Linked DNA regions of Kluyveromyces lactis. The protein of the gene in region 2 purifies or fractionates together with the protein of the main gene of each other region. This does not show direct contact. Links are inferred from orthologs where the notes say so. Each region holds a gene or a part of one and is shown on either strand. Other genes may lie near its edges. The genes, in order: VMA1, RAD3, KIN28 and MET18.

Region 1 (8,609 bases), on a different chromosome or scaffold from region 2:
TCCGAAGAACTTAGGACTGCTTACACCCATACACCAGTTAAACACCCTTACACCCAAATTTGGTCAATCGGACAATCAAAGAGTTTATTATAATACCGAAATAGGAAATCGAATACCCAACCCAAAGCTTCAAGATATAAGGGTTGGCCCTGATAAATCACTTACATACCAAAAGAGGCACCAATAACAAGCCAATAAGATCCAAAGATCACCACCACTGACTGCAGATTGACCGTTTTGACTATAAGGTTTTTTTACGGCTTCGAAATGAGGCTATTTTGACCTGTTTTACGTACTTAACCTGTGTGCCCTCATTTGCTTTAACATGTATATTGTTACCCGCACTGAAACTCCTTGCTCACCCGCTTTCCATACACAACCGTAGAGAATTGCTCACTTTTTTTTGAGTGAAAAATTACCACCAAACATAATATTTGCAAAAAAAAACCTTGGTAAGGATTTGGTACAAATTAAATATGGATGCTTTCTTCCTAACACTTTGATTTTTTGAAGAGAATTCCAAAATCATATATATATTCACTGGTTCTAATTTAGTTTATTCTTGTTGCAGTTGTATTTATGTAATTTGTTATATATATTCTCTTTTGATTCTCAGAAAGTCAAGAACTTAGAAACCTATTTCATCACCGAAATGCGTGCTAAGTGGAGAAAGAAGAGAGTTAGAAGACTTAAGAGAAAGAGACGGAAGGTGAGAGCTAGATCCAAATAAGCGGACTGAATCAATAAACTAGGGAAAGAACTTTTCTCATTACGAGATAATTGCAAAGATTTAGTTGCGCAATGGCGAGTGCATTGAACAATGCTCTTATGCTGTTGGTTTCTATTTAATTGTGATTATGGTTTTTCCTGCCTTTTTAACGTTTATGATTTCTCATCTAGTCTCTATAATAAATCCGTTGCAAATTGTGATATATTGGGTTTGGAAAGGTTTTGAATGGAAAATAAGAACTATTCTAAAGTGATTTTCTCATAGCCCCCTTTCCTAATTATTATTGGTATTGTTGGTGCTATTGTGATCCTAATTTTCTCTAGGATGTCTTTTTTCGTCAACGTTTTAAATCAATTCACTAGGCGTTCAATTGTCAGATTGTATTAAGCTCAATTGATTTCAATCAATTACTGTCTTCATCCATACTTGGCTTTGAAAGCGTAGAATACGTGTATGGTAAAAAATAGTTAAGTATTTCTTCTATTATGTATTAATTCAATATTTCAAGTCCGCTTTTTCAAATGCTACTTTATTAATTTTTATACATAGTTGTGACCTTACAGGTCGGACTGTTCGTCTTCAGTATCAAGATGTGGTTAAAATAAAGTACTTTATTAATTAATTAGTTCTTTTTTGATGATAATCTCAAACATTGAATTGTTTTCTTTGTTTAAGAATTTCTATGTTATATAGGGTGTAAAAGGTGAAACAAAGTAAGGATGGGGTGCGGTCGGAACCATAAGAAAATTTACTTAGGTTTGATCAATCGGTTGATTCAGCAAATCTATCTTGAATATTGGTCAACAATTTCTCGAATTCTGCATGAACTTCCTCTTCACCTCTACTTGGTTCAAAAAATTTCGATGAAGAGACAGCATGCTTGACATCACGCGTTGCTTCAGATAGCTTTGCCCAGTTAGCACCGTTTGATACAGATTTTTGAGCTTCATCGTGGTAAGAGATGAATGATTTCATCATATCATAAGTCTTCCAAATTGGACAGAATGCATCGTAGGTAGAGTAACCATTTTGTTGTAAGAAATCTTCTTTGATCAAAGAAGCAATATCTAAGGTAATCTTATCACCATCGGATAAAGCAGATTTACCGACCAATTGGACAACTTGTTCAAGTTCTTCAGCGTTCGAAAGGATTTCCTTCATACGATCTCTCAACACTGGGAATTCTGGATAGTTCTTTTCGTAGTATTTGTTCAAGACATTTGTATATTTGGAATAAGAAACAGAAGTATTGATGGATGGGAAATGCTTTCTTTGAGCCAACTTTTTGTCCAAACCCCAAAACACTTGAGTGATACCAAGAGTTGATGTAGTAACAGGATCGGAGAAATCACCACCGGCTGGGGAAACAGCGGCAACAATAGAAACGGAACCAATACGGTCTGGAGAACCTAAAGCAACAGCCTTACCAGCTCTTTCGTAAAAGGAGGCCAACTTAGCACCCAAGTATGCTGGGAAACCTTGATCAGCAGGCATTTCACCTAAACGACCTGAAATTTCTCTCAAAGCTTCAGCCCATCTAGAAGACGAATCGGCAATCATAGAAACGTTCTTACCTTGATCTCTGAAGTATTCAGCCAATGTAATACCAGTGTAAATGGAGGCCTCTCTAGCAGCGACAGGCATATTAGAAGTGTTTGCAACTAATGTGGTACGTTTCATGATAGGTTCCTTTCTACCACTAATTTCTGTGAATAATTCAGGGAATTCCATCAAAACTTCAGCCATTTCGTTACCTCTTTCACCACAGTTGTGAACCAAAGTCATGTTTGATAGTAAGAATTTGTGGTCTGATTCTTCAGCTAAAGTGACACCAAAATAATCAGCAGACTCAATTTTTTCTAAATCGAAAGAGATAGGTTGAGCCTTATGAATTACATCAACCTTTTCGATGTTCGAAGTGGAGGTCCAATTTGAAACACTCTTCAAAGCATCACCTGAAAGAGTCAATGTGTATTCTTGGTTTTGTTTCTTACCGGAAACGCGGATACCTAAAGAACGCGCCAATCTCGCAATACCGTCATGTGTCTTGACTGATAGTGTTTTTAGAGCGACTGTGTCATCTAGCTTTTGGTTTTGAGAGTCTACAATACCTGCCAAGAAACTTTCACGAACATTGATGTTTTCGGACATCATGAACGATGGGATGCCGCTAGAGAAAGATTCTTGAACGATCTTGGAGACAAGACTGACTTGAGCGACCTTTCTGCGTTTATTTTCTTGAACTGGCTCTTGAGAAATAACAATGCTAGCAGTGCCAACGGTCTTCCCATTAGATTGCACATCGATAGACTTTTCGGCAACAATCTTTTTATCGAATTGAGCAGACAGTTGTTGAAGATATTCTGAGTTGTCCTTACCGGAGGAGCCAACGAAAGCACCCAACAGATACGAAAATTGTGGAGCCAAAGAAGATTGGAAATCGTTTGATTTTAAGACGCCTGCTAAGTGTTCCTTCTCCAACAACACAGGGTTTATCAACTGTTGAGTTACTTCACGGATGGAAGAGTCTACCAACAACATATCCCTGGCCTCCAAAGTCCATTCAATGGATGTCGTGTCAATAGTAGTGACAAATTCAGCAGCATTTATGATAGCTTGATTACTTTCAGCATTAGCAAAAGATTTTTCAGCTCTTTCAACTAGTCTAACAGTGCGTGATTCAGTACCATTTCCCACTGAAATGTCTGCCAATCTGTTGAATGCAACGGTAACCTTTTCCTTAGACTCTGTTAGTCTTATATCTTGTGGAGTGACAAGAACTAGCTTGTGTGAGCTGTTACATTGGAAACTAATCTTGGCGGTTTCATTGTCCTCTGATTTTTCGGTAACTTGGTACATGTCATCATGACCTCTTGGTAAGCCAACAACTTGTCTTGGAAGTCCATCTCTACCCATTACTTCATCGCCTACCTGAATGTTCTCTATCAATTCATCCTTACCGTCACCCATCATTACTTCAGTGCCCTTAGAGAAACAACCAACGTAAATGATTGCATCAGAGTTGGAGTACTTAGACAATGATTGAGAAATAACAGTCTTACCACAACCAAAAGCACCTGGAATACAGGTGGTACCACCTTGAACACATGGGAACAAAGAGTCCAAGACTCTTTGACCGGTGAGTAAAGGATAGTCAGCAGAGAGCTTTTCGGTGACAGGTCTTGGAACACGCACTGGCCATGTGTGATACATGGAGTAATCGTATTTGACACCGTCAAATTCCAATTCTAGAATCTTTTCATCAACGGTGTATTCACCAGCGGAAGCAATCCATGTAACAGTACCTCTTGCTCTTGGTGGCAACAAGATCTTGTGGTCATCCAAAAGAGAGTTTTCGAAAATGGAACCGAAAATATCACCACCTGAGATATGGTCGCCTACTTTGAACTTGCCAGGAGTAAATTGCCATTTGATAGTTCTACTCAAAGCTGGAGCATCAATACCTCTTGGAATATAGATAGATTGAGAGATATCCTTAATGGCCTTCAATGGTCTTTGAATACCATCATAAATTGTCTCCATCAAACCTGGACCCAATTCGACAGATAATGGTTTACCAGTTCTTAAAACAGGGTCACCAACAGTAACACCTGTAGTTTCTTCATACACTTGGATTGTAGCCTTTTCACCATCAATACGAATGACTTCACCCACCAAGTTGTCATGACCAACTTTAACCAATTCGTACATGGCACATCCAATCATGTTTTCTGCAATCACCACAGGACCAGAAACAGAGTAAATAGCACCATATTCACTCTCCTCATGGTCTTCAAGGGTTACTCTTTTCAATTCCTTACGTGCGTTTTCCAATGCACCTGCCATTTTTGATATCTGTAGTTCTAAACTTGCACGCCCTAATAACTTCTTTAAATTAGCTAATTAATCAACCAATCAATCAATTACTCTTAATTGAAAACGTTATTAACTGTAAGAAAGAAAGAAAGAAAAATAATAGAGGAAGATACCCACGTAATGTTAGGTACAAATCTCAATGTCAATTGTTCCGAGGATATTATTATCTTAAGGTCAGTATCGATGAACTAGTTAATGAACGTTGTTCTACAGGATTTATTTCAATACTCAAACCACGCGCTCATTCATATAATGGTTTCCTTTTAAGTTCAAATTCTTAATTTCAATCTTTTTTCATACTAGTGTTATCAGCACAGTTTGCCCCTTATCAATTCTATCAGGGTAACTTTTCAGAATTTGAAAAGTCAACGATGAAAAATTGAAATACAACAAGGTGAAAGAATATGAACCGTTTGATCTTTTTAGTATTAATCGCCATCTGTTACCAATTGTATTTAAAGGTGCCTGAGATCGATACTTACTGATTATAAATATTAGCCTAAATTCCTTTGAACTTTTTAATCTTGCGTTTTTTTCCAGTTTTCTAAACTGTTTCATTGTCTATGAAAGTTAATCACATGGTTCGTCTTTTTTTTTGACGCGCGTCAGTTTTATACGAATCTCACTCAAGTAAAACATAACCAACTGGAGCAAGAGAAGGATGCATCTTGAGAAGCCTGCGTCATTTGTCTAGAGTTTGTTACATTGTTGTTGTTTTGCTGTTGTTGTGAATGTGGTAGGTAGTACTGTGGAATTGGGTAGTGATACGTGTACTGACTATTTATCGTCATATCATCTGTTCTTGCTGGTAATTTCAACGTTACGGGTACGGCTTTTGCAGTCATTGACGTTGTTGCATTGTATTCATCGATAATGTTGGAACGGTAGGTGTCAATACGTTCAGTAGTAAATGCTTTGTCTTTGTAATTCCAAATTTCGGTATTGCCCAAGTCAAGCCCATCTAAATCTTCTTCTTCATCCTCTTGTGTATCATTGATACTATTTCTCTGCATTCTTGTCGAAAATGCATCTCTTATCTGGGACCACGTTTGTGACATTGAAATAGGTTCCTGTTGGTATGGATGAGTGCCCTCGATTACTTGTACTGTGCCAAGATGCGAGGATGCTGGTCGTTTCCATCGAACTAATTGATCCTCCATCCGGCCCATTAATTGGTTATCCACAGGGAAAACACGAGTATGTTGTTTAGAAATAACCAACTCCCTAACAGATTTTTCAGAATGGTGCAAGTTTTGACCCTGAGATTTTTCTGCATGTTGCGCATCACCTTGTAACAGGCTTTGATCGAATACCCACCGACTATTGCTAAGATCTAAAGTCTCCGTCATTGTTTGTAACCTTTGGGGGATTTGAAAGACCACCGAACGTAATCGTTCACTTATAACAAGTGAAATGTATTTCAATGATACAGTCTCGAATCCACAGAAGGAGCCATGTTCAGTTTATATCTAAATCCAAGAATCGCTGACATCTGTGTGACACAGGAACTGATATATAGTTACCCTACCGCCTTCAACGGAAGAATATTACATACTACAAAGGGAACCCAGCCTTCCCTGTGGAAGTAAAAGTAAAACAATGATGTTTTCAGACAGCTTACTTTCAACTGATACAGTCGTGCGTGATGCTCTTGTCTTTGAGACCCTAAAATTGGCCGCTTAAGTAATATGGAAGTATCGCCCTCTCGCCAGATCTCCCGTTCTGTAACTATCTGTGTTCCGATCTTCCCTACACAGTATGGAAGAGCAAAAAAAATGCCATACAAAAAAGGAAGAAAGATAGGAAGAAAAAAGTATATACAAAGTATACGTACTCTTTACGAAATTGTTAGCGATACCAGGTTCAGTTAACGGTAGAATCTCACTAAACTTTCATTTATATCAACCACTTCTGAGGCCAAGTGATTTTTTGAGCCGGAACAATTTGAACTCAGTTGTGTCCTATCTAATACAACGTCGTCCTCTGTGAGTGCGTTGTTGTTCTCTGTTGATTTAATTTTTTTTCCCTACTTTCTTTCTCCCAATATTTTGAGAAATTAGGAAAAGAAGGTTATAAATAATAATTGAAGAAAGAACGGACCATTTGGAAGTGTTTGGCAAAGGCGTTTGACAAAGCGTGCATATAGACTGGAGTAAACCCTTATTTGTTACTAATATACCAGCGGCTAGAATAAAAGAGTTGGGTTAACACATTCAAAACATTACTGCATTACATAATGGATGTTGATACTGATGTGCCTATGCATGACGCAGTAGAAGATCAACTGGATTCAACTTTAGACGAAGAAGCTCCAGGTTTTGATAACGGATTGGCGAGTTCGTCTCCAGGTACGTCAGGAATAGCTGACAATAAGGCTACGAAACCCGTGGAACTGACTGGGTCTAGTATCGGTCAATTGGATGCATGGTTAGAAAAGTTGAGTCAATGTCAATGTTTGTCGGAGGAAGATGTTGCCAAGTTGTGTAAGATGGCGGTTGATGTGCTTCAATTTGAGGACAACGTTCAACCTGTGTCCGTCCCCGTGACGATATGTGGTGACGTTCATGGACAATTCCACGATTTGATAGAATTATTCAAGATCGGTGGACCTTGTCCCGATACAAATTACTTGTTCATGGGTGATTATGTCGATAGAGGTTATTATTCTGTAGAGACTGTTTCATATTTGGTTGCACTAAAAGTCCGTTACCCAAGCAGAATTACAATTCTAAGAGGTAATCATGAGTCTAGGCAGATTACACAAGTGTACGGGTTTTATGATGAGTGTCTAAGGAAATACGGTAGCGCTAACGTTTGGAAAATGTTTACTGATTTGTTTGATTATTTCCCAATTACCGCACTAGTGGATAACAAGATCTTCTGTCTACATGGTGGCCTTTCACCAATGATCGAAACGGTTGATCAAGTCAGAGAACTAAATAGAATACAAGAGGTTCCTCATGAAGGTCCAATGTGTGATCTATTATGGTCAGACCCGGATGATAGAGGTGGCTGGGGTATAAGTCCAAGAGGTGCAGGTTTCACGTTTGGTCAAGACATTAGTGAGCAATTCAATCATACAAACGATCTCTCATTGATTGCGAGAGCACATCAATTGGTTATGGAAGGATATGCTTGGTCTCATCAACAAAGTGTTGTTACCATATTCAGCGCTCCAAACTACTGTTATAGATGTGGTAATCAAGCAGCAATCATGGAAGTTGACGATACGATGAATAGACAGTTCTTACAGTATAATCCATCCGTAAGACCCGGTGAACCAACCGTAAGTAGAAAGACTCCGGATTATTTCTTGTAATTCACTGGGATCTTATCTATCAGGAAAAGATTGTTTCATAGGTTATAGGTATTCTACGAAATGTTGCCATCCCGCCTATGTTCCTCACTAGCAATATCATTTTTTGGAACGTACACGGAGACATGATCTAAATGCTCGTAATGTGGTATCACTGAATACATAACGTCTGTTATAATAAATATATATCATCAATACTATTAATTACATCGATTCGGGTTTTTTTCGATCAGAAGGCACAAAATGTTTATATATATCATGGCAAGTATGATATATTTGGAGAATGTAACGCTGCCCTCGCAATGAATCAGAAAAACTATAGTTGCTTCAAGTGTTATTATTTACCTTTCGTTTTTGGAATATTATATCTTGCCCTTAATTTCACTGCATTTGTTAAGTCTGTCAATGGCGATATCTGTCATCTCGTTGATGGCTATCCTACACTCTTCGAACCACGTATTATTGGAATTGATTCTTTGCTCCATCAGTTTACTAATTCTATCGTAAGATCTGCCATTTACAAAGACTACAAACTTCAACCCCTCATATTTCTTTTCGTACTTGTCATTCAAAGTCTTTAACCATGTCAAAATTTCTAAAGAATCGACTGTGCTACCAGTTAAGTTGGCTTGCTCTTTCATGGAATGGACAGACAGTTTCTGTTTTGAATCTCCGAGTCTTGGATGA
Region 2 (8,474 bases):
CAACCGCAGAGACCTCATATATAGCCATAACGCCCACAAAGGGTTTATAGATGATCTACTGGCCCTTCACAAGCTCTAAATCGCTGATACATGAGGAATTGACCGATATTTAGCCGTATCTTGTCTTTAACCCACTTTGTTACCCGGCCTTTTGCCCTTTTTCCGTAATCATTTGACCACTTAATCATTGAACTATCCAATCAAGTCACTTAACGATGAGTAACATCACTTCTGTTCAGTCTCTGTATACTTAACTTGTCCATTTGACGAGTCTCCGACAGCTAGCTAGACTGTTATAATACCAATTGTCCCCGCCATGTCAGTTCTCAGACCATTAAGATTGTTACTACTGGGTGCACCCGGTTCTGGTAAAGGTACTCAGACCTCGAAACTGTTGAAAGAATTCGGATCCATCAAGGCTATCTCATCTGGAGATTTGCTACGTAAACAGATTGAACATGGCACACCGTTAGGTTTAAGTGCCTCCTCGTATATTGAGAAAGGCCAGTTGTTACCCGATGATTTGATCACCGGAGTTGTGTGTGACGAATTGAAGTCACGTGGCTGGTTAAATCCAAATGCTACTTGGTTACTAGATGGGTTCCCACGTACCGTGGGTCAAGCTGAAGTGTTAGACAAGTCATTGTTGGAACACGATGCCTCATTAAACCTTGTCGTGGAGCTAGACGTGCCTCATGAAGTGATCTTGGAGAGAATCGAAAACCGTTACGTTCACGTTCCAAGTGGAAGAGTTTATAATTTGCAATATAACCCTCCCAAAGTCGACGGAAAGGACGATATCACCGGTGAACCTTTGACCAAGAGACCCGACGATACTGCAGAGGTGTTTGGCAAGAGGCTAGAACAGTACAACAAGACAGTGACCCCATTGAAGGAACATTACTTGAAGCAAGGTATTCTGTCAACCATTTCCGGTAACACTAGTGACATTATATACCCGAAACTAGTATCGCTAATCCTACAAAAATTCGCAAACTAATACTCTCGCTCTTAACCACGATAAACATGTAAATAGAAACAAGGCACGACCAGGAGCCAGTGCCATTCAATTAGTTAAAAATGGTTTACCTTCCCATATCTTACTTAATCATACATACTTACAGACTACTATGCTCAACATGAAAAAAAAATCTTTTAAAGAATCACTAAAGCTTCTAAAGCGTTGAATATAAGGTTTGAAGAGAGTTGATAGTGTAGATTCTTCTTGATTTGTGTCTTGAACCCAACAGCGGGTATCTCGAATACAGGTTCTAGCAGTATAATGAAGTTTTACATCGATGATTTGCCCGTTCTGTTCCCATATCCTAAGATATATCCTGAACAATATCAGTATATGTGTGATATAAAGAAAACCTTGGATGCTGGTGGGAATAGCATATTAGAGATGCCGTCTGGGACCGGTAAGACTGTTTCGTTACTTTCTTTGACAGTGGCGTATCAAATGCATTATCCTGAGCATAGGAAGATTATTTATTGTTCTCGTACCATGTCTGAAATCGAAAAGGCGTTAGTGGAATTAGAATCTTTGATGGATTATCGATCTAAAGAGCTTGGCTTTGTGGAAGATTTCCGTGGGTTGGGGCTCACCAGTAGAAAGAACTTGTGTCTTCACCCCAGGGTTAGTAAGGAAAGGAAAGGTAACGTTGTGGATGAGAAATGTCGACGGATGACAAATGGGCAAGCGAGGAAGAAAAAGGAAGAGAATCCGGATGCTAACGTAGAGTTATGTGATTACCATGAAAATATGTATAATTACGATGTGGCAGATTATTTGCCTCCAGGTGTGTTTTCATTTGAAAGATTGATTCGGTTTTGTGAGGAGAAACGGATGTGTCCTTATTTCACTGTACGTCGTATGATTTCGATGTGTAATATTATCATTTACTCTTACCATTATCTATTGGATCCCAAGATTGCAGAGCGTGTGTCGAAAGAGGTCAGTAAAGATGCTATTGTGATTTTCGACGAGGCCCATAATATAGATAATGTTTGCATTGAATCTCTTTCCCTAGATTTGACCAAGGATCTATTAAAGAAGGCCACTAAAGGTGCTAATGCCCTGGATCGGAAAGTCGAAGAGATGAAGAAAGTGGATTCACAGAAATTACAAGATGAATATGAAAAGTTGGTTCACGGGTTAAGAGCATCGGATATCTTGGAACCCGAAGAAGAGCCGTTGGTGGAAACACCAGTTTTGTCAAATGATATATTGAAGGAGGCAATTCCTGGGAATATAAGAAGAGCTACACATTTCATTTCATTTTTGAAAAGATTTATCGAATATTTGAAGACTAGAATGAAGGTTTTACATGTCATATCGGAGACACCAAACTCTTTCCTCCTTCATCTCAAACAATTGACATTTATAGAAAGGAAACCTTTACGATTTTGTTCAGAAAGATTGTCGTTATTGGTTAGGACCCTTGAAGTCGAGGAAGTGGAAGAATTTAACGCTTTGAAAGACATTGCAACTTTTGCTACTTTGATTTCTACTTATGAGGATGGGTTCCTCTTGATTATAGAACCGTATGAAATCGAAAATGCGGCAGTGCCCAATCCAATCGTTAGATTTACTTGTCTTGACGCATCGATTGCAATTAAACCTATCTTCGAACGATTCTCATCGGTTATTATCACTTCGGGTACCATATCCCCGTTGGATATGTACCCTAAGATGTTAAATTTCGAAACTGTATTACAACAATCTTATTCGATGACTTTAGCGAAAAAATCATTCTTGCCAATGATTTTAACAAAGGGTTCTGATCAAGTGGCAATATCATCTAGATTCGAAATTAGAAATGATCCTTCCATTGTTCGTAACTATGGTTCGATGTTGGTTGAATTTGCCAAAATCACACCCGATGGTTTGGTCGTTTTTTTCCCATCTTATTTATACATGGAATCCATTATTTCAATGTGGCAAACTATGGGTATTCTAGATGAGGTTTGGAAATACAAATTGATCTTAGTGGAAACTCCCGATGCACAAGAAACTGCTTTAGCATTGGAAACATACCGTAAGGCCTGTTCTAACGGACGAGGAGCCATTCTTTTGTCAGTTGCGCGTGGTAAAGTGTCTGAGGGTATCGATTTTGACCATCAGTACGGAAGAACTGTACTCATGATCGGCATTCCGTTCCAGTATACAGAATCTCGTATTCTTAAGGCAAGACTAGAGTTCTTACGTGAGAATTACCAGATCCGAGAGAATGACTTTTTATCTTTTGATGCAATGAGACATGCAGCTCAATGCTTAGGTAGAGTTTTACGTGGTAAAGATGACTACGGTGTAATGGTGTTGGCAGACCGTAGATTTGCAAGGAAGAAAAGTCAACTACCAAAATGGATTGCACAAGGTTTATCTGATGCCGACATGAACTTGTCCACGGATATGGCTATCGCCAATACTAAGCAATTTTTGCGAACCATGGCACAACCAACTGATCCAAAAGATCAAGAAGGTGTATCTGTGTGGAGTCATGCACAGTTACTGGCGCACCAAGAAAGTGTTAAGAAAAAGCAACATAACGGGTTTGTTGATTCGGATGTGACAGAAGTCAAGGATAATGACGGGGACATTGAAATGAAGGATTAGATAAAGGGATTCTACTCTGCTTATAGAAAGAATTTTATTTTAATTTATATTCACTGCATATATACAGTACTTTCTTTTTATTTATGCATTTACTATGCGATGTTAACATTAAATGTTACTTCCTTATCGGCATCCAAGTAAGAATCACATACACACCATATTGTTAGTTCATGATCACCAGGATCTTCCAATTCGATTTCCAATTCGTAGTCCTGGGTCATTTTTGTAAGCGCGATCTTCCTGATAGCATATAGCTGCCTGGAGCTCTTTTCACCGATGAATATCCACCATGCTTCAGTTTTTTCATGTGGCAACGACTTTGAGCTAACATTTAGTGTTTCTGGTTCTTCATCTCTACTTACTGTTACAGTAACCATTTTTTTGTCGTGAGGTTTCATCGGTGCTGACATATCTAGAGCATACTTCAACTCAATGTTTGGATAACTGTTGACAAATTCTGCGACTTTATTCAACTTATTTTCCGGTAAAGTGATGATATCTTCTCTTTCTTCATCCTCTAAAGCCATCACGTCATAAACTGTTTCTACATTATGGTTTTTGCATTTCTCCAAGATGTCTGTATCAAAGAATGGAATTTGTTTCAAAGGTGAATCAGTATCCCACACACCTTGAACAATCATTTGACTTAAATCCATAGCAGTAGTGGCATTCAAATAACCGTTCATTGACAATATATCTACCATTGTTCCTGCTAAGCTAGGTGCTTTTGAAAGGATTTCAGACAAATCAAGTGATAAGTCCATGGGTAAATGAAGACCTGAAAAATGGGCCTGCAATAACACAAAAACCTTGGCTGTTGTGGAGCGTGGATCGAATTCGGAGGACAACTTCAAAGGTGAAATGTCGTATAATTTTCTTAATGGCTTTATATCATGTAATCTAAGAGGCAATGTCTTAAACTCTTCACTTGAAGACAAAATTTCAAGAATACCGCTCATTCTTAGTGATCTTGATGCTGCTCGGCTAAAATTGCATATCGTTAAACAACTTACGGCATGGATAGCAGAAATAAGACAGGCATTATTCGGGGAAATTACCTCCTCTGCAATTTCTGTGGAATCGTTCGCTTCCCCTTCAACTGATATAAGCTCGGTTTCCTTCATGGTTGTTACTGCTTCCTCTACTAATTCTGTTAAATAGGAGGAAATTTCGTCTGCAGTCACATCTTGAATACCGTAGAAACTTGGATTTGCATGTATTCTACGATATAGATAAGTGTAAGTTAAAAGGTCGATACAGTCTTGCTTGGTTTCTAATGTTTGGTTTGCAAACTCCGTTGTAAGTAAATCAATAACATGGTATGGCAGAGAACTCTCCGTTGGTAACCCATCACAAAGGAATTTTTTATAGTATTCCTTCCTTTGCATTGTGGTGATTAGTTTTGCATGTGCTTGCTGTTTATTTGACGCCGTAAACGCTGTTCCCATCATCTCAAGAATAGTATTTACAGGATAATCGATGTATCTGTTCTCCCTGCCTTCAAAATATTGAGTTGTAGTAACAAAGACAAAACTTGATGAAGGGGCATCAAAACAACAATCCCTACTTGCAACCAAAATCGATATCACCTTGTATTCATGGAGCTTACGGACTACATTCCTATCGGAATAATGCATACCTTGGTATAGAATTCCTATACCACTTTGCAACAGTGTCTTGAGGTTGCTGTCCTGGACCTTGTTGAGATACGAGTGTAAACTGGATTCCTCTGCTCTAAGAAGATCAATGCCTTTAGCAACAGCGAGACCAACGAGTTCTGTCGCGAAAGAAACGCATTCATATCTGTCAGTGACGAAAACTGTTATAGTTTCATCGGGTGAGGCGACACGATTACTACTTTCAACGATCTCAGTTAGGGCCATTCGATTAGAAGTAGGGCTTTTTACTAAAATGCTAGTTTCGATATCGACTGTCAAGGGTGTTTGCCTTTCTAAAGCAGTAAAATTGAAAATACTTGATTTTTTTGCACCTAACCATTCTCCGAAATCCTTTGCGTTGGCAAGTGGGGTTCCAAGCCCCACAATCCTTATATTCTTCTCCAATTGTGTTGCAATGAAAATCATTCTCGTAATTATGATTTCATACATCGGTCCAATTATCTCGTTGCCTATTTCATGGATGTCATCACAAATAATTAGTTCTATTCTTTGAATGTTTTTTCTTTCCGGCCAGCGACGAGACAGGTATTCAAATTCATTCGGAGTAGCTAATATTAGATGAGATTGGGCTAATTGTTTTTGATCGTGCTGCAAATTTCCAGAAAAAGCATTGATCAGTTTTCCACCAGCCAAATGTGAGAATCGCTTTTTCCAATTCTTTAGAAGTTCAGTTATCTTGGTTTTGAATGGACAAATGTAAATCGCACGTCCTCTGCCTTCTCTCCAATGGTTCAATAATGAAAGTTCTGCCATTATTGTTTTACCGGAACCTTTTGTTGCACATATTAGTGCGTTTTCAGTTTCATGGTATAATGTATCGAAAACTTCAGTTTGAACTTTATTGAAAGAATGGAAATTGTATAACGCCTCAAATTCATCAATTTGTAGTTCCTTGGTACTTTTCTTAATTGAATCAGAAACAGATATTGCAGGAGGGAATGGTTTAGGTAATTTTATTTCACTCAAAATAACAGGAATCTTGTACTCACAGTTTAGCCATTTTTCTGATATAACGGATACAAAATAGTTCGGCGGTAACATTTTCTGCTTCAAAAATACAACAAAGTCAAGATACACAATGCTGTTTATTGCATTTCTCCCAACATGCAATGTCTCATGATAAATTGTTTGTTCACCGTCTGTGTCTTCGACAAGAACAAGGAATGTTTCAGAATAGCTGCTGGAATCCAGATCCCAGATCCATGTAGGTTGGAGTTCCAACTCAAAACGAAGTAGTGAATTTGTAACTGGCTGCATTGCGCAGTGAATGCCAATCTTCGGGAATCTTTGAAGCAAATCGAAAGCAACTTTACCATTTTTTGGAGATCTTAAGGCTTCGCCTACCTCATGAGCATTCTTCAACAGTAAGAAATCGTTCCAGGGTAAACCAGACGCTTCTGCTCGTCTTATGATTTCTTGAGGGCATCTCTTGAATTGCCTAAATGGTGAGTTCGTGGGCCACATTCTGCTATCGACGCATTTACAGATGGTAAGCAGAAGCTTGGTTAGTCTTGGCCATCCTTTTCTTAAGCACATTTCGAAGAGTGCTCTGAAAAGTCTACCTGCGCTCTGAGAAATGTAAATCATATCCGCATTTAAAGCGAACCCCTCCAATCGTAATTTTGAAATGTACACCTGAAGTAGAATGTTTGCCTTGGCTAATGAATCAGTAGCCTTCTCCTTGATCGGAATTGGACAACGCTCGACGAGTTTCTCTAATTCAGTTTTCTCTTCTTGTCTTACGGTAATGTTCTTAAACTCTTCTGACATAGCAAATATTCTCAGAATGTCGATCAAAGTGCTGTTTATTGTTAACTCCCGGTTGTATTTTGCAATTGACGAATAACTTATGTAGAAATGAGAGGATATTCTACCTAGCTCAGTTGGTTGTACCGACTTAGAAAGAGAGTCATAGTTTACAAGACCGTTATTCTGTAATAAATTCAACGCCGTATGCACAATATTTCTGTTGACTCTTATGAGCTCAGCATCACTCATGTCTCCTGAAGAACCTTGCAAGTTGTATAAATGAGGTGATTGCTTCATCCGTACTGATAAATAGGAATAACCCAACCAGTTAACTGCTTCATCTAGTGAGGTGACGTTACCTAGAACTATTTCAGCATTAAGATTATCAACAACTTTTGAAATCATTTGAGATTCTATAGGGAGTTGTTGGTTCAACACAGCGAGATAATAACGTACGTCTGATTGGTTTGTAATAATGATCCCTTCACCATTTACGTCGTATCTCGGCCTACCAGCTCTTCCTAACATTTGAAGGATATCTTGTGGGGGAAGCATGACCCAATCACTTTTCTCCGGTGAATACATTTCTGTACCTTTAATTATGACAGTGTGGGCAGGAAGGTTAACACCCCATGCTAAAGTTGCTGTGGAAACAAGAACTTTTAGCAAACCATCAGCAAAAAGGTCTTCGGATAAAGATCTATCATCCTTTGTAAGGCCTGCATGATGGATACCGAATCCATAAGGTATAAGGTCGGAGAGCGATCTATCAGTAGCATTACTGGATTCTGTCTTGAGGATTTCCAAGGAACCTTTATCGGTACCTTGGAACGCACTTATTTTATCTTCATTTATAAGTTTTTGAATAAGCCACCTAGCAGTTCTAGCAGTATCCTTTCTCGAATGAACGAAAATGATAACTTGGTGTCCTTCTTTTGCGGCCTCCAATAATTTATCATAGCATGCCTGGTTCATGGCATTCTTCTTCTTTAAAGCATTTTTCTCAGTGATGCCACAATACTGTTGTGCTAAAGGACATGGCCTGAAAGTTGAATCAAAATAAAATAAGCCATTATCAGGAACATGAAGGAACTTGGCCACGTCAATGTAGTTTGGTAAAGTGGCAGAAAGTGCAACAAGCCTCGTAGGAATTTCTGCCGTTGTGTCCCGTAGAACCCTTGCTACTATTGATTCAATGACCGGACCTCTTTCATCATGTAATAAATGGACCTCATCTATGATGATCAAACGTACGAGTTTGTGAAAGCTAGTGTCTGTTGATTTTCTTGTGATTACATCCCATTTTTCCGGAGTTGCTACTAAGAGTTGGGTTTCTTCGATTTGCTGCTTAGATAAGTTGGAATCACCTGTAAGCTCTGCTACCTTCACTCCAAAATGATGTAACCTTCTTTGAAATTCTCTGACTT
Region 3 (6,360 bases), on a different chromosome or scaffold from region 2:
GAACTTTTTTCATTATCATTAAGTCTTTCCCTTTGATGCTATTGGGTATATCAACATCATTACCAGTGTCTAGTCCCTCATAAAGCTTCTCATACATAGGATATAGCTTATTGTATGCAAGCCGACTATCGAGCTCAAACAATATCCTGCTAACCATCTTCTTTTGTGGGAAGATCTCATGCAATGGTGGCCGTTTGTTGGCTAAACTGGAAATCAGTCTCCTGCTTGATACCAAGATACAGCTTCTAAAACCAAGCATCTCGAACAAAAACAGTTTTAGCTCTCGGGTATATCAGAAGATTCGAATAAAGCCTGGAAGATCTCACAAAAGCCTAACGTTCTGCTTAATCCTGTAGGTCTGCCTTTGATCCATTTGTGCGTAAGAACTTGATGATGTATTTGGTTTTGATCCTTTCCTGGTTAAAATTCGAGTTTCTATAAAATGATTCTTTACCAACCGTTACACATAATCGGATAAGGTCCGATTATTTAAGTTAAAGGCATGAAAGTAGGTGTCAATACACAATCAATATCTATCAATGGTGCTAAAATTCCAAGCTAATTGTCGCTCTTTGATTCGACCATTGTTTTCACGTTTTTATTCGGCTCCTGTTGATTATTCGCATGCTGTTATCGGTGCAGGTGTAGTCGGACTGGCTATTGCCAACGAACTTACCAAAGTCCCAGGCAATAAAGTGATTGTTTTGGAGAAGAATGCAAAGATTGGCCAAGAAACTTCGAGCCGTAATAGTGAGGTGATTCATGCTGGTTTGTATTACCCAGTAGATTCGTTAAAAACGAAGTTTTGTATTGAAGGAAACCATATCATATACAATGAATTGAATCCCAGGAAGACTGGTGTCGATTGGCTGAAATGTGGTAAGTGGGTTGTGGCACAAACTGATTTCGAAGATGCATATGTTGAACGTATGTACTATAAAGCGAAATATGAGTTAAATCTTCCAGTAGAAATTTTGCCCAGTCACAAGACTCAATGGCAAGAGCCAGCTGTAATAGTCGAAAGAAGTGCACTTGTATCTCCAACCACGGGTATCATCGACTCACATTCTTTGATAGAATACCTCTCTGCTATGGTTGATAACCAGGGGGGTGATACTGTGATTGGATCTGAAGTTAAGGATATTCAATTTTTAGGATCTAGCTACGCTCTCCAATGCGTGGAAACGCTGAATGGTACTGCAGAAGAAGTCGAGATTCGTGTAGAAAATGTTATCAACGCTGCTGGATTATATGCAGACAAGATTGCTAATATGATCTTACCACCTGAACGTCAGGTAAAGCAATATTATGCCAAGGGCAATTATTTCACTTCGAAGACTCAAGTTCCAGCTGTGAGAAGATTGATCTATCCTGTGCCTCCCAGAAATGGCAAATCATTGGGAACTCATTTGACCATTGATTTAAATCATCAAGTGAGATTCGGTCCTGATCTTGAATATGTTGACTCTGCGGATGATCTGATCCCAAACCCGCTGAATATTGAAGACGCTGCCAAAACCATCACAAGATATTTCCCTCATCTGCAACCAGGTGAATTAGAGGCTTCATACTGCGGTATCAGGCCTAAATTAGCAGCACCAGGTGACACAGAATTCAAAGATTTCTATATTAAAGAAGAAGAAGGATTCCCGGGGTTTGTTAACCTGCTAGGTATCGAATCTCCAGGTTTAACGTCAAGTATCCCAATCGGGAGATACGTGAAGAAGATACTTCACGGTTAGGAATAACAGATAACATGCAATAATGAACTTTTTTTTCGTACATATCCTCGTATTCTATTCAAAATATATCTAGGTATTTTCATTTATTGAGCTTAGGAAGATCTTGTGGAAGTGTAGGCTCCGGCAATTCCTGGAAATATTGACTTTGTAGACACTTGACTGCATCCCATCTCTTTTTAGGGTTCATTATCATCATCCCACTTATCAGTTCAAGTGCATTTTCCGTAGCCGCTATGAATCTTCTTCTCAATTCCTCTCTCGATGGAGGTGGATATATTTGAATCTTATTATAATTGCTAAAACTAGAAACTTCAGGCCAATCCGCATCAGTAGGAGTTCCTAACGCACGGAATGTTACGTTTATCTGATCAACATCATCTTTCCCCGGCAAATAAGGAATTCTCAACATTAATTCTGCGAATATAACACCGACAGACCAGATATCGACCGCAGAGGTGTAGTGTTTTGCACCAAATAAGAGCTCCGGTGCTCTGTACCATCTGGTAACAACGTTACTGGTCAAAATCTCCTGTGGTGACGCCATTAGTCTGGCTAGACCAAAATCTGCGATTTTCAATTGACCATCAGGTGCTAATAGTAAATTATTTGGCTTCAAATCTCTATGAAGTATGAAGTTTCTATGACAATGGTGTACACCTCTCAAAGTCATTAGAATCCAGGACTTAATATCTGCTGGACTGAACATAATAGAAGTGTCCTTAATAATGATCTCCAAGTCGGCAGGTAGAAACTCCAACACTAAATTCAAATTATCGTTTGCCATGAAAACGTCTACTAATTCAATAACATTCACATGCTTCAACTCTTGTAGAAACTTCACTTCACGTAATGCTGACATGTCAAGTCCATCTTTGAACTGTGAGGTCTTGATCTCCTTCACCGCAATACTCCTTCCAGTGGACTTCTTAGTTCCCAAATAAACCACGGCATACGTACCTTCACCAGCCTTTTTCTCCTTAGTATAGTCATCAACAGTAGATTTTAGGGTCATGGTTTATAACTTCGAGCTCTACCGTATGACAGAATCAGTTCCCAGATCCAACGATGACTTTAAACATCAAATGTCTATCTGCATGTTGGCAGAAGCTTGGACCTTTCTATATTAAATATGAAAAATCTTTGAAAGTTTGATACATATTATGCTATGTAAAGGAAGAAGTGTATGGTGAATCAAAACGAAGTACCATCGGATCTTCAGAGTTAAAAACTACATTCGATTGGGGAAATGATCTCAAAATTGTTTGGAAGAGGAAAGTTCTTTCGAAACGTGGCTCTTCAAGTCAGATTTAACAGTTCTGAAGCCGTCGAATTTCGACCATTGCACTCATCGCTAATATCAAGAGCAGAGCTGTATGTCAATGAATTGCGAGAGTTAGAGGACCTGTTGTCGCAGGGTGGATCCTTCGATCTTGAGAAACAGAAGAATTTTGCCAAACTATCTACGATTGTGGATTCGTATTCCAAATACAGAGAAGAAGTCAATCAGTATAAAGAACTACAGGAGATACTGGAATTAGATCCATCATTACGAGAAGAAGCCGAAGCAGACATAGCAGCACTACTCCCAGATTTGAACAAGACAGGGGACTCTTTATTGAATAAACTCCTACCGCCTCATCCTTTTGCAGATAAACCCAGTATATTAGAACTAAGGCCTGGTGTCGGTGGTTCTGAAGCTATGATATTCACTCAAGATCTGTTGAACATGTACATTAACTATGCAAATTATCATAAATGGAAATGGAACCTAATATCAAAAACTGAGAACGCAAGCGGTAGCGGAGTCCTGGAAGCAATCTTGAATATAGATGAACCAGGTTCTTATGATAAATTGAAATTCGAAGCCGGAGTTCATCGTGTTCAAAGAGTGCCTGCCACAGAATCAAAGGGAAGAACTCATACTTCCACTGCGGCCGTCATTGTGCTACCCAAAATGGGTGAAGAAAGTGAATCTGATGCATACGAGAGGACTTTCAAGCCAGATGAGATTCGTATCGATGTCATGAGAGCCAGTGGTAAAGGTGGGCAGCATGTCAACACTACAGATTCTGCTGTCAGGTTGACACATTATCCATCAGGCATTGTGATTTCAATGCAGGAAGAAAGGTCTCAACACAGAAACAAAGCCAAAGCCTTTGCTATCCTACGAGCAAGGTTGGCCGAAAAGGAAAGGCTTGAGAAAGAGGAGAAAGAGAGGAATGCAAGGAAAGATCAAGTTTCCACGACAGACAGATCTGACAAGATCAGAACTTATAATTACCCACAGAATAGAATCACGGACCATAGATGTGGCTTCACACTATATGATATCGAGGGGGTCATGAAGGGTGAGAGGCTAGATGATGTAATTGATGCTATGGACGCGTTTAGTTCTGAGCAGAAGGCTAAGCAATTACTTCAGGACATGTCAGCTTGATCAAATATTCAGTTGGAAACACCGTTCTGCGCCAGGGAATGATAATTGGATTTACACTGTAAATAGTATAAAATAAAGTTGCATATATGTATAGAAGAAAGCACCCTGAACATCAATCTAGTGTGAAACCTCACTCGAGGGTACGTATTGGTGTATAGTGTGTTGCTGTTTCTCACCCAGTTCTTTATACGAACCATTATACGATTTTTGACTGGAGAAATTGAAGTGTCAAAATGCAAAGTATGCTTAGATACATAATCCCTTCAACGATGAGACAAAATGCAAAGCACCAACGGGATCAGTGGTTAAAAATGACTGCATCAGATCATGATATCATGTACCATTTCCAGTCGTCGTTGCGAATAGGGGAGCTAGAGCGATATATTTTCACTTATGACCTTTATATGGGAGATGAGATACCCAGTGATTTAACGTTGGATTCATTGTGGTTGAAGATCAAAAACATTGAAAACGTGACGCTCAGGGCAGCGTATTTGATGGGGCCCTACGTGTTGTACGCGGATGTGCGAACGAAGGATTACCACCACAAACAAAGATTATTCATTTCTGCTGATCAACCTCAGTTTGAGTCTAATATTCAACCGCAACAGGATTTTATTGCGGAGCTTTCATTGCACAACTTGAAGAAACGGTACGTATGGATTGTTGACATTGCAAGCCAAATCTTATTTACCAAACAGGCATCGATAAACTTTTCTATCACCGTAGGTGGTAGTAAGGAATCAATAAGTGTGGACTCAGCAAGAAATATCCAGTTGGGGGTACAGAGTTCAAGAATGAAAGTGGATAGACTGACTACCGCAGATCTTTGGAATGCATCGTTGCTTTCAAAGAGTGTTTTTGGTAGGCGAAAAGAGCATCTCGTCATTCTTACGCATGGCTTACACTCTAACGTTACGTCGGATTTATTTTATATCAAGGAACAGATTGAGAAGACTCAAAACCAACATGAGGAAATGCTAGTTGTGAAAGGATTCACCGACAATGTATGCAAGACAGAGAAAGGCATAAAATGGCTAGGGACCCGGTTGGCCGAACATATAGTTCATAACCTATACAATGATGCTACTGTAAAAATTTCATTCATTGGACATTCATTAGGCGGATTGGTTCAATCCTTCGCAATTGCTTATATCTCTTACAACTATCCAAAGTTTTTTGAACAGGTTGAACCTGTAAACTTCATAACAATGGCATCTCCCATGCTTGGGATTGTTAGTGACAACGCAGTTTATATCCAGCGGCTATTGGCAATGGGTATTGCCGGTAAGACGGGACAGGATCTCAGCCTACAAACATACAATGGACTTAAACAGCCTCTTCTACAAACTTTATCCAGCTCGTCTGCTTTGAGAAGGATTCTAAAATGCTTTAAAAGCTGCACAGTGTATGCAAATGCTTGCAATGATGGAATTGTACCATTATACACATCCGCACTATTATTTCTAGATTATGATGATATTTTGGATAAGCTTAACATGAATACTGAAGATTTACAGACAGACTTCTTTCAAAGGAACTTCATCTCTCCGCTAACTAAGGCCATGGATATATTGATGCCTCAGAGGGTCTCACAAAACGGAACAAAGATACCTGTGGCATCGATGCTTGATTCTGCATACTCAGTATTGATTCCTCCACTACCTGACAAATCTTATATAACTGATCCGAAAACAAGGAAAGACGTTGTAGTACATGATAAAGTATACAGCGGACAGGATATTCCAGATCATCAATCTAATAGCCAATTGGAGGTCATGAATAGCTCAAATGTTCTACTTAAAACATTTAACATAGCTTTTGGCGGGCAGTATAAAAAATTGGAGGAACAAATAGCAAGAAATTGGCATAAAGACGTCAAATGGAGGAAAGTCATTATAAATTTGAAGCCTGATGCTCACAACAATATCATCACCAGAAGAAGGTTCTCTAATGCGTACGGTTGGCCGGTGGTTGATCATTTAACTGAAACTCACTTCTTGAATGACGATAAATCTTCACGATCATGGAAACTGGATCCTATCTCGAAGGACGAAGATTTTGACTGGATTGTAAAGCCAACGGTAGATAGCGTATTCGACGTAGGTCCAACGGGCATGATTTGTACTTTTGGGGAAATGTTGGAAAATCTGAAAACGTCCACACTGGAAGGTATGACCG
Region 4 (8,689 bases), on a different chromosome or scaffold from region 2:
AGTTGCTTAAAGCTTCGGGAAGGCCTAAGCGCACACTTGTTTCGTCGAAATCAACAGAAAGTTTAACCTTCTCCAGTTGTACCGAGATATCAGAACTGTCGGAACTTACTGATTCATCATCATCATCCTCTAAGAGGCCATCCGGTATATTTATATCTTTACTCAAAAGCTGTAAGCTTACCATTTGCTCCTTCAACAACTTTTCGTCCCACTGAATATCTTTGGCTGCGTTTTCTCTTAACCTCAGCAGCCTTTCCTTGTACTCTTCCTGTTTATCCGAGATTTGGGTGAAAATTTGTTCAATAGCCTCAACTTCAAGCTTATTATGATCTCTATATTGAGAAATGTATCTGTAACGATAAATCAAATTTTCTAATTGTTCTTTCGTTTCAGGTAGTGGCAAGATTACTCTTTCCACCTTCTTCATTTCTTCTAGAACAGCGGCAATCTGGTTCTGTCCAATAGCACTACCACTGTCGTTCCGAAAATTGTTGTTGCTTCCTTTGTCAGCACCAACATGGTTGTCTTCGATATTGCCGTTAACGTCCTGGTTTTCAGTTTCGGAATTCCCATTATCAACATTCTCAGAATTCACTATAGGAAGCGGATAAGGAGGCGCTGTATCCGCGTTATTCGTTACGACGACTTGATCCATTGTTGTTTTATTTCACACTTCTTAACGTGATCCAGGTCTCTTCCCGCTAGTGAGCTTTAAACCTTTTTTATTCTGAAAGGGGGTAAAACAATAACTGAAGTCCTGCTAAAAAAATTCAGAGTTGTCACAAAGCTAACGCGATACAAACAGGTACTATTGCCCTAGAATTCTTTACTGTTTCGCTTTCGGTGCGTCTATTTTTTTAGCCGCCGTTGCCGTGTTGAAAACAAACCTCTGTTCGTCCTTTTCTCGTGTCAAAACTAAATTCAGAATAAAATCAAACTGTTTTCAAATTCATCCTCTTTTTCACAATTTTATTTATCGTGTTTACTTTTTTCTTTGACATTCACTATTGCCATGGGCCAAAGTACGGGTAACAACAACAAGAACCGGGTAATAAACCAACTTCGATCACGTGCCAAAATATTCGCATTAAAGTGGGCACCATTGTTTCTTTTCTTGTTTAATATTTCATGACCTAAAATGAAAATTTGGATAATACGCCATGGATGAGATGAGATGAGATTAGATGAGATGTGATGAGAGTGAACTATCAAGTTCCCCGATTGAGATAGTTACAGTGCTTCGAACTGTTACAAAAGTGTCTTCTGTATTGACAATCAAGGTTTGAAGAACTAAAATTCTCTGATTATAATGTCATCTCTTGCAGCTGCTCATGCTACCAACGCTGTGAACGCATTGTTGCAAAGCGTACTGCCGGGTTCTGCGTCGGTTAATGCAGAAAGAAAGAAAACAAGCCGAGACAAAGGCTCGAAAGCACAACTAATAGATAGGAACTTGAAGAAAAGAGTAGAGGTACAAGAAAAGGATGTATACCGGATCAAAAAGAGGGAGAAGAAAATGTTGAGAAAGAAGATATCTGGAAGAAAAGAAGTCCAAGAGGATATAGAACAGAAGGCTAAGCTACAAGTACTAAGAAAGCATCAAGTAGATAATTCTCTTACGGATCATGAGAAATCCTATTTGGATAAAGTGGTGAAGAAAAATGTTCGCAACCTGAAAAGTTGGGATTATGACGATAAGGAAGAACTGTTAGATTTACAGAAACAAATACTTGCCAACTCAGAAGATTCAAAGAAGGTAAGGAAGGTAAAATCTAGGAGACAAAAGAAGAAACAGTTCAAGGAGAAGCTACCACAATCGATACAAGACCACAGATATAAAGCTCTCACACCTGGATTGGCTCCAGTTGGTGCGAGCGATGAGGAGGAATCAGAAGACGAAGATGAAGATTATTGAGCTCATATTTACAAAGACGTACAGGTACGGAGTTTTCATTGCGGCTCATACAAAGGTGTGTTTTTTTCTCTCAGCATATGATCAAATACTCAGTAGACTCAAGTGTTCATTGTCGGTTCATATATATTAATTAAGTATATTCATTATTTGAAGGAAGTAGAACTACTCAAATGGTACCTGTCCTAATTCCAAATATGCCTGTTTTGTGTCTATGCATTGTTTGCGCACTCTACGCTTCGAGTCATCTAAACCAATTTGAAGTTTTGATATAATTTCATTCTTCATGGGGATCAAGTAGTTAAGGGGAACACTGGTTGTTAAAGTCTGAAGAATTTCTAATGACAGAAATCTTACGTTCACGTTACTATATTTCGATGGGACCAATAAGTTAAGTAACAGCGGAACTAACGAATGGACATGTTCAGTAACCAACTGAGACATTTGATTCACAGTATTTTTTAGTGTCTCTAGAGATGATATTCTGACTTCGATATTCTCTAGTTCAAGAGCCTGAAGAAGAAGAGGTAACAAGTCCGTGATATACGATATGGTGATATTTGATGGAGTATTCTTTAAAACTAAAGAAACTGCGGTAAGATAATTCGATTTAATGGTCATATTATCAGAAGATTTGAAGGCGTTTACCATTTTTTGTGCAATGTGATTGAAAAACTTCTGCTTGTAAATTAATCGAATATTGTTATTCCATGACACCTTTTTAAATCTTTGAAAAATTAGAAGGTCAAGAACTAAAACTTCAAAGAGGTGAGCAACCTTATTGCCAAACTTCTCGTCACTTAAAAGAGAAAATAGATGATCCGTCAATTTTGTTGCAAGAACTGAATTTTTCATGACCAAACCTTTGTTAATCCAGCATATTATTTCAAGATTCTTAATAGATGTGTCAGTTAGGTCCAGCACGCTTTCTATGTAAGATTCTGTAACCCATTTATTTGATAATAGCGCCAAGAACTCCAAGTAATTTAGAGATTCGAAAGTTGGGAGAGCTTCATTATTCTTAATGAGTTCAATGGCTTTTGAAAATATATCATTCGCGGCTTCAAAAGATGTATTCTTATCCAAAGCTGCCAAAAGCCTGGAGTAAATCACAATAGATCTTTGAGCAGAATCAAAAATTCTTTCTTCATCCAAGAAACATTTATTATAGGTAATAAGTTCACTTTGATGGGTTGAGACATCAGATTTTATGTTAAGCTGAAATAAAACTCCAGCCGCAAGGCTCAAGGAGTGGTCATCAAGGTATATCATATCATTTTTCAAAGAGTTTTGTAAAAATGTCTCTTCCATCGATTCCTTCAAGAATTGCACAACGTTCTGGTCGAATTCATCAATGTTATTCTGCAAAAGGGAAAAAAGACATGACAAAATCAAAAAACAATAATCGCTGCAATTTGGATGCATTACAATGAGGTTTAATTTCGAAGCAAGACCAACAATACTTTCTTTGACCAAATGGTGCCTTGAAGTAGTGAAATCGAGAATGACCTTCAAAACTCGCTCTATTGGGACTATATCAGTGTTATTCAATGTGATTGGAACCATGTTTTCATTATCAGGAAGTAGATGTAACATGTACTTCAAAGAGACTTCATAAATAATGGATTCATTGAACACACTGATAAACTTGAGACCCTCCAAGCATGCGCAGTATATATTCTTATTCTCGTCAGTCAAAATTGTTTCGGTGAAATATTGGACAATCATCGCTATTTCCTCGCTATCCAAAAAACCTGACATTTTAACTAGTGTGGTGAATTGTATGATAGCAAGCGTCCTCAGGGTAACTTCATTTTTGGATGTACCAGTTAATGCCTTGCTGAAAACCATTAATATGCTGTCTTTGTGATTTTGTAATTCATTCTTAGCATGGAATTTGGAAATCTCTTTACCGGTCTCGCCAAAGAGTGAAATATAAGCGCTAAAAAATGGCGCCAAATTGAGAATCAAGAGTTTCTGTTTAGAAGCATCTAAGTCTTTATCCATGAAAAGCACTGGAATCACTTTTTTCATGACTTTATTAAATGTTTGCAAGCTCACTTTAGAAATTGAAGCGAGCAGGTCACAACACTGTTTTAAATCCTTATCTTGTTCAAAATTTGGAACAAACTCATCAAATATATGATTAAAAAATTTATCAAATGCATGTTCATCTAGTGCGATGAGTTTCGAAGATAATGAAGTTATAATAGAGAGCGAATCCGAGTAGTTACTAATATTTCCTTCTGGTCTCGAGTTTTGGTTTTCTGTATCCATTGCAGTATCGAGGATTGAAGGTTCCGGGTCTGTGCCATTTAAAATTTCAAACTTTAGGGCATCCCAAATTGGCAGCCAGTGTTTCAAAGATGATGTTCCACTGAATGTATCCACACATGCTTTGAGGGTCAGTATAGTATCATTTTTAACAGTTGGTGACGATGCTGCCAATTTATCTAAGAGGTTCCCAAAAGCATCCTCCTCAAACTTTTCCGTGGCAGTGATGGCACTTCTCAAGGCTAGTTTCAAATCATTATTGGTAATTTTGTATGGATCATTACTTGGGGGTTTGAACATGATTGGGAAGTAGCAGAATAATATATCAAATAATTCCTCCTTGAAACTGTCAATGTTGCGTAAACCGGTGCTAATATCAGAATTCAAACGGAAAGATATGAGAAGATTTCTAGGATCTTTCTCACCAGTTGCAACAAGAATAAAAGTTTCGATATATAAGTCATTCAATTTGAGATTGCCCAACATCTGGGATTTGAATTTGATAAGTATATTATCCATAATCCTGAATCCGAAATATCTAGTCGCAGCCAAAAAGTTAGTAGGTTGATAGTCATTTCCTAAAAGTTTTAACAGCTTTTCGACGTGACTAACGTAAAAACAGTCCATTAGTACTAATGAGTTGATCCCTTGTAGTGTTTCTTTCATGCAGCCTGAATCTTCCATCTTACTTTGGTAGAAATCGAATATCACTGAAACATCATTCTTCTTTAGTACCGCTGGTGAAATGTGTTCCAATATACAAGATAAACAGCTCAATGCATTTTGTCTGGTGCTATCGTCATCAGAGGTTAAGTACTCTCGTAAAAATATTACAATTCGTAACAATTCAATGCTCTTTCGAGTTACCTCATCAGCGATCGTATTGGCCAATTTGTCTGCCACAGAAGTATTAACCTTTGCATTAGCCATAAAACTGACAATGTCTGCTTTCAATTTATCTTCTGTATAGTCTGTCGCCATTATGGTACGATATAAATATTTTACAGTGATAGGGCGGTCTTCAATGACAAGTTTATCGAATGCTAAAGCACTAAATAACTCGTTGAGTTCTTACTCGTTCTTGTTGACTAAGGTTGGGTTTTATTCCACATTACGATTTTGATATGTGCAATGCTTCCGATTAGGCTTAATTATTTGATTACCCGGAACACTCCGTATCATGTGACCAGATCAAGAATAACAATTCAGTGAAGTTAACAGTAGGAGATGACGATGAAATGATCTGCATAAGGGAGTGGAAGAAAGAATTGCTGTCTACGCGGTAAGAGATCGTTATTCATAATTGATCGTGTTCCCAAGGTTTATGGAATACGAGAATTTGGGTTGAATTGTGCTTTTATCAAAAGGCCTATTGTCACGAAAATTCGCTTTCCAATTGTTTTAAATCATAATAAGAAAGGTCCAATACTGCCAGATATCCACAACTTACAATTGGACATGAACTCTGGGTTTATGTTTCCTCCAGTGGGGAAAGAAAACAGGGCACATGGTACCTTACTTTCTGATGATATGGGTAATGATTTTAAGTTTCCAAGTGAGAATGTGAACCAAGTAGAGGTTGAAAAGCAACAACAGTATCCTTCCACCCAGATTGACCAGGGGGCTGTGCAACATAGCAATACAGATTATCCTCAACAGACACTGAATATCATAGACATTCCACCGGTAGATCCTAATGGTGTGACCCCAGAACAATTCCATATCAATGCATTGCAATTGAACAAGCCGGGAGATAACCTGTCGAACAAAATTACAAACAATATAAATTACAGCATCAACGAGGTATCTCAGCAACCAAGACCTGATCCTGCATCTGCTAATAGTACATCCTCATTCCCCGATGAATACGTTGCCGGATTAAGACAGAAATCGGCAACTGACTGGAAAAGTCCGTCTGAATACGCATTACACATTCTTTTCACAAAGTTCGTAAGATTTGCCGAGATGAAGCTTAATATATGTTTACAATATCCGAGAGAGACGGAACCTCCAATTATAGAAATTTTAGGAGAAGGCAAGGATATAGAATTTGACAAAATTATAGAATCGTTGGGTTTCATTTCCAAGAAAAATGCGAAACCGGTAATAGATGCAATGATGTTTTGGAGGAAGACAAAGTCTGAAGTAGCTGCTTTAGCAGCGGAAAAACTGGATAAAATCATGCAAGAATATGAGCAGTATGTGAAGAATAATGAGCAAGTTCTGGCAGCTAGTCGAACTCACTCAAAATCATCTAGCTCAGCTAGCAGCAGGTTGACACATAGAAGAAATACCTCATCAAAGTCCTCTACAAGCCTGAATTCTCATTCAGATCCCAAATTTGCATCATTAGAGAACCAGGTAGAGAGAACAAAAGAAATGGCTTTCCAGGCCGATAGAAAATCTCTTATTACCATTTATATTTTGTGTCGTGTTTTGATCGAGATTGTCAAGCAGAATCCTATGGACTTTGATGATGAGTTAAGTACGAAGCTTGAAGGTATCGTTTTCACACAATTGAAGACTACCGATCCATCATCACTGTCTTCAACGCTAATTAAATCAGCAAATTGGAACTCGTTCGCGGAATTATTAGGCTGGATGAGTGAAAAAAAGTTTATCTCTGTCAGTGATAAATTTATAGCAGATCTCGAAAAAATCCCTCCCAAAGTTCCCCGTGATCAAGAGCCCTCTGTGCACCTTTTAATCCTAGGAATGCGTTATTTGAGGCTTAAAAACTATCCTCTAGAAATGTTTGAGGAAAGTGCAGGGTTCATCAAATCTATTTCGAAGTTCTTTGCTCCGTCCCAAAACACTTCTATTCGTTTGGCTTATGCTGAAGTACTAAGTCAACTTTTATTGCCGTTGGCTGGAGCAATGACAGCAGAGGCTAATCATCCAACGTGGATAGAAGCAATGACGTCGATCCTAGCTACCTGTAAAAAACTTCAAACTGACAGCAAATGCTGGACACTTGCTTTCAAGTTGACCGTGGCAGTGTTGTGTGTCTCAGATACTGAATTGTTTTCCAAAAACTGGTTATCTTTGATCGAGAAGAACGTTACCAAAATTAAATCTAAGTCATTAGAAGATCGTGTTGCTTTCTCCATGGGCCTTTCAAGGTTGATATGGGTCTATCTTTTCAGATGTACTGAAACCTTAAACAATACAGACAAAACGTTGACAAAATTGTTCTCGTTATTTTTGAGTTCAAAGAAGAAGGAGAACTGGATCACGACAGATATGGATATCATAAACCCTCTATGTGATGTTTTCGTGACTGTGGGATACGTTCATCCTACCTTCGTATTTGAAAATGTTCTTCTACATTTGATGAAATCCTCCTTTAATGGGACGAATTTAGAGAATATTGCACATGAAAAATTGATACTAGTCATCAATACTTATAGAGGATTACTTATGACTAAAGAAAGGCCTATATTCCCTGATGGAGAACGCAGGTTCTATGAAGTTGACTTGAATAAGATATCGGTACATTCTTCGGATAAAAATTGGGCCAATCATGAGGAACTTGTGAAGTATTTGTACAAACTTTTCATGTTACTTGATTCTAATATAGGATCAGAGGTGTGGTCACCGGAAAATGAACACCGTCGCCAACCTTCCACACCTTTCTCAAATATCACAAATTTTGGTTTCGGAATCAATAATGATAACAGTGCAAATTATGCACGAAGCCTGAATATGGCACTTTTTGCAACCCTTATTGAGGTTTTGCCCTGCTGTTTGTCAGTGTCTCAAAGCATTCCATTCAAATCTACGATTGAAATTCTATCCAGGAATGCTGTCCACGCAGATCAGCTGATTGCGACAAGTGCCCAAAATGCATTGAAAGTATTAGCTGCCAAAAAGAATCCCTACACCCTAATAACTTGGTTCGCTAAATACTCATTTGATTTCGATGAAAAGACACAATCAAGGTATAGCTTGTATTATCTTTCTTCCGCAGAATACAGAACATTGCTTGCACTATACGTCGAATTGCTTGAATGCTGGCTCGAAGATTTTACTAAGAACGACATCCAACAATCAGAATCAGATGCCGCTCTCAATGGAATGAAACTGCCCCCCAAAACTTTGGAAGCGAATTATCATGAATTAGAGAAAATTGAATGGAAAAATACCCAAACTGTCGTGGAAGATGTCGAAGGCAACGGTTTATTCTTTCTCTGCAGCGCCGATGCTTCTATCCGCCGATTAGCAATTCAAATTCTTCAATTGACTTCCAAATTCGATAAAGCGTTGATGCAAAAGGCAACAACATATGATAAAGGTCACTCAAGATCTTCTTCTCGTTTGGTAGCGGAAAGTGGATCAAGATTGATCGATATGCTCCCATCTTATGATATTCCAAAACTGCTAGAACCTGAGAAGCAATCGCTTAGTGTGGCCGAAAAGTCTAGACTTGTCAAGTTAACCATGAAATCTAAGACGAACATCTTAGTCAGACTTTGTGAATCTGAATATGGGGTCGATGCGGCT

The links.
Region 1: the proteins of RAD3 (region 2) and VMA1 purify together in Saccharomyces cerevisiae (affinity purification with mass spectrometry, with the first as the bait; 3 studies listed by BioGRID). This does not show direct contact. The link is inferred for Kluyveromyces lactis from reciprocal best matches to the Saccharomyces cerevisiae genes RAD3 and VMA1.
Region 3: the proteins of RAD3 (region 2) and KIN28 purify together in Saccharomyces cerevisiae (co-purification; 6 studies listed by BioGRID, with this or other methods). This does not show direct contact. The link is inferred for Kluyveromyces lactis from reciprocal best matches to the Saccharomyces cerevisiae genes RAD3 and KIN28.
Region 4: the proteins of RAD3 (region 2) and MET18 purify together in Saccharomyces cerevisiae (affinity purification with mass spectrometry; 4 studies listed by BioGRID, with this or other methods). This does not show direct contact. The link is inferred for Kluyveromyces lactis from reciprocal best matches to the Saccharomyces cerevisiae genes RAD3 and MET18.

The regions. Positions count from the first base shown.
Region 1 is NC_006042.1:525,239-533,847, reverse strand, and holds VMA1 (H(+)-transporting V1 sector ATPase subunit A), read right to left. Parts: upstream 4,577-8,609; coding exon 1,493-4,576; downstream 1-1,492. Other genes in the region: KLLA0_F05379g (uncharacterized protein), read right to left, coding at 5,233-5,955; phosphoprotein phosphatase 2A catalytic subunit PPH22, read left to right, coding at 6,843-7,925; KLLA0_F05335g (2-oxo-4-hydroxy-4-carboxy-5-ureidoimidazoline decarboxylase), read right to left, coding at 8,285-8,609. UniProt on the Saccharomyces cerevisiae protein: Catalytic subunit of the V1 complex of vacuolar(H+)-ATPase (V-ATPase), a multisubunit enzyme composed of a peripheral complex (V1) that hydrolyzes ATP and a membrane integral complex (V0) that translocates protons.
Region 2 is NC_006039.1:1,576,041-1,584,514, forward strand, and holds RAD3 (TFIIH/NER complex ATP-dependent 5'-3' DNA helicase subunit RAD3), read left to right. Parts: upstream 1-1,282; coding exon 1,283-3,619; downstream 3,620-8,474. Other genes in the region: adenylate kinase ADK2, read left to right, coding at 317-1,000; ATP-dependent RNA helicase BRR2, read right to left, coding at 3,712-8,474. UniProt on the Saccharomyces cerevisiae protein: ATP-dependent 5'-3' DNA helicase.
Region 3 is NC_006041.1:1,321,922-1,328,281, forward strand, and holds KIN28 (TFIIH complex serine/threonine-protein kinase subunit KIN28), read right to left. Parts: upstream 2,755-6,360; coding exon 1,822-2,754; downstream 1-1,821. Other genes in the region: MSS2 (Mss2p), read right to left, coding at 1-259; KLLA0_E14763g (NAD(P)/FAD-dependent oxidoreductase), read left to right, coding at 540-1,742; MRF1 (Mrf1p), read left to right, coding at 2,989-4,179; putative lipase ROG1, read left to right, coding at 4,413-6,360. UniProt on the Saccharomyces cerevisiae protein: Catalytic component of the TFIIK complex (KIN28-CCL1 dimer) which is the protein kinase component of transcription factor IIH (TFIIH) and phosphorylates the C-terminal domain of RNA polymerase II during transition from transcription to elongation after preinitiation complex (PIC) formation, thereby positively regulating transcription.
Region 4 is NC_006042.1:439,029-447,717, forward strand, and holds MET18 (Met18p), read right to left. Parts: upstream 5,168-8,689; coding exon 2,078-5,167; downstream 1-2,077. Other genes in the region: RSC chromatin remodeling complex ATPase subunit STH1, read right to left, coding at 1-655; RRT14 (Rrt14p), read left to right, coding at 1,310-1,915; TAO3 (Tao3p), read left to right, coding at 5,645-8,689. UniProt on the Saccharomyces cerevisiae protein: Key component of the cytosolic iron-sulfur protein assembly (CIA) machinery that mediates the incorporation of iron-sulfur cluster into apoproteins specifically involved in DNA metabolism and genomic integrity.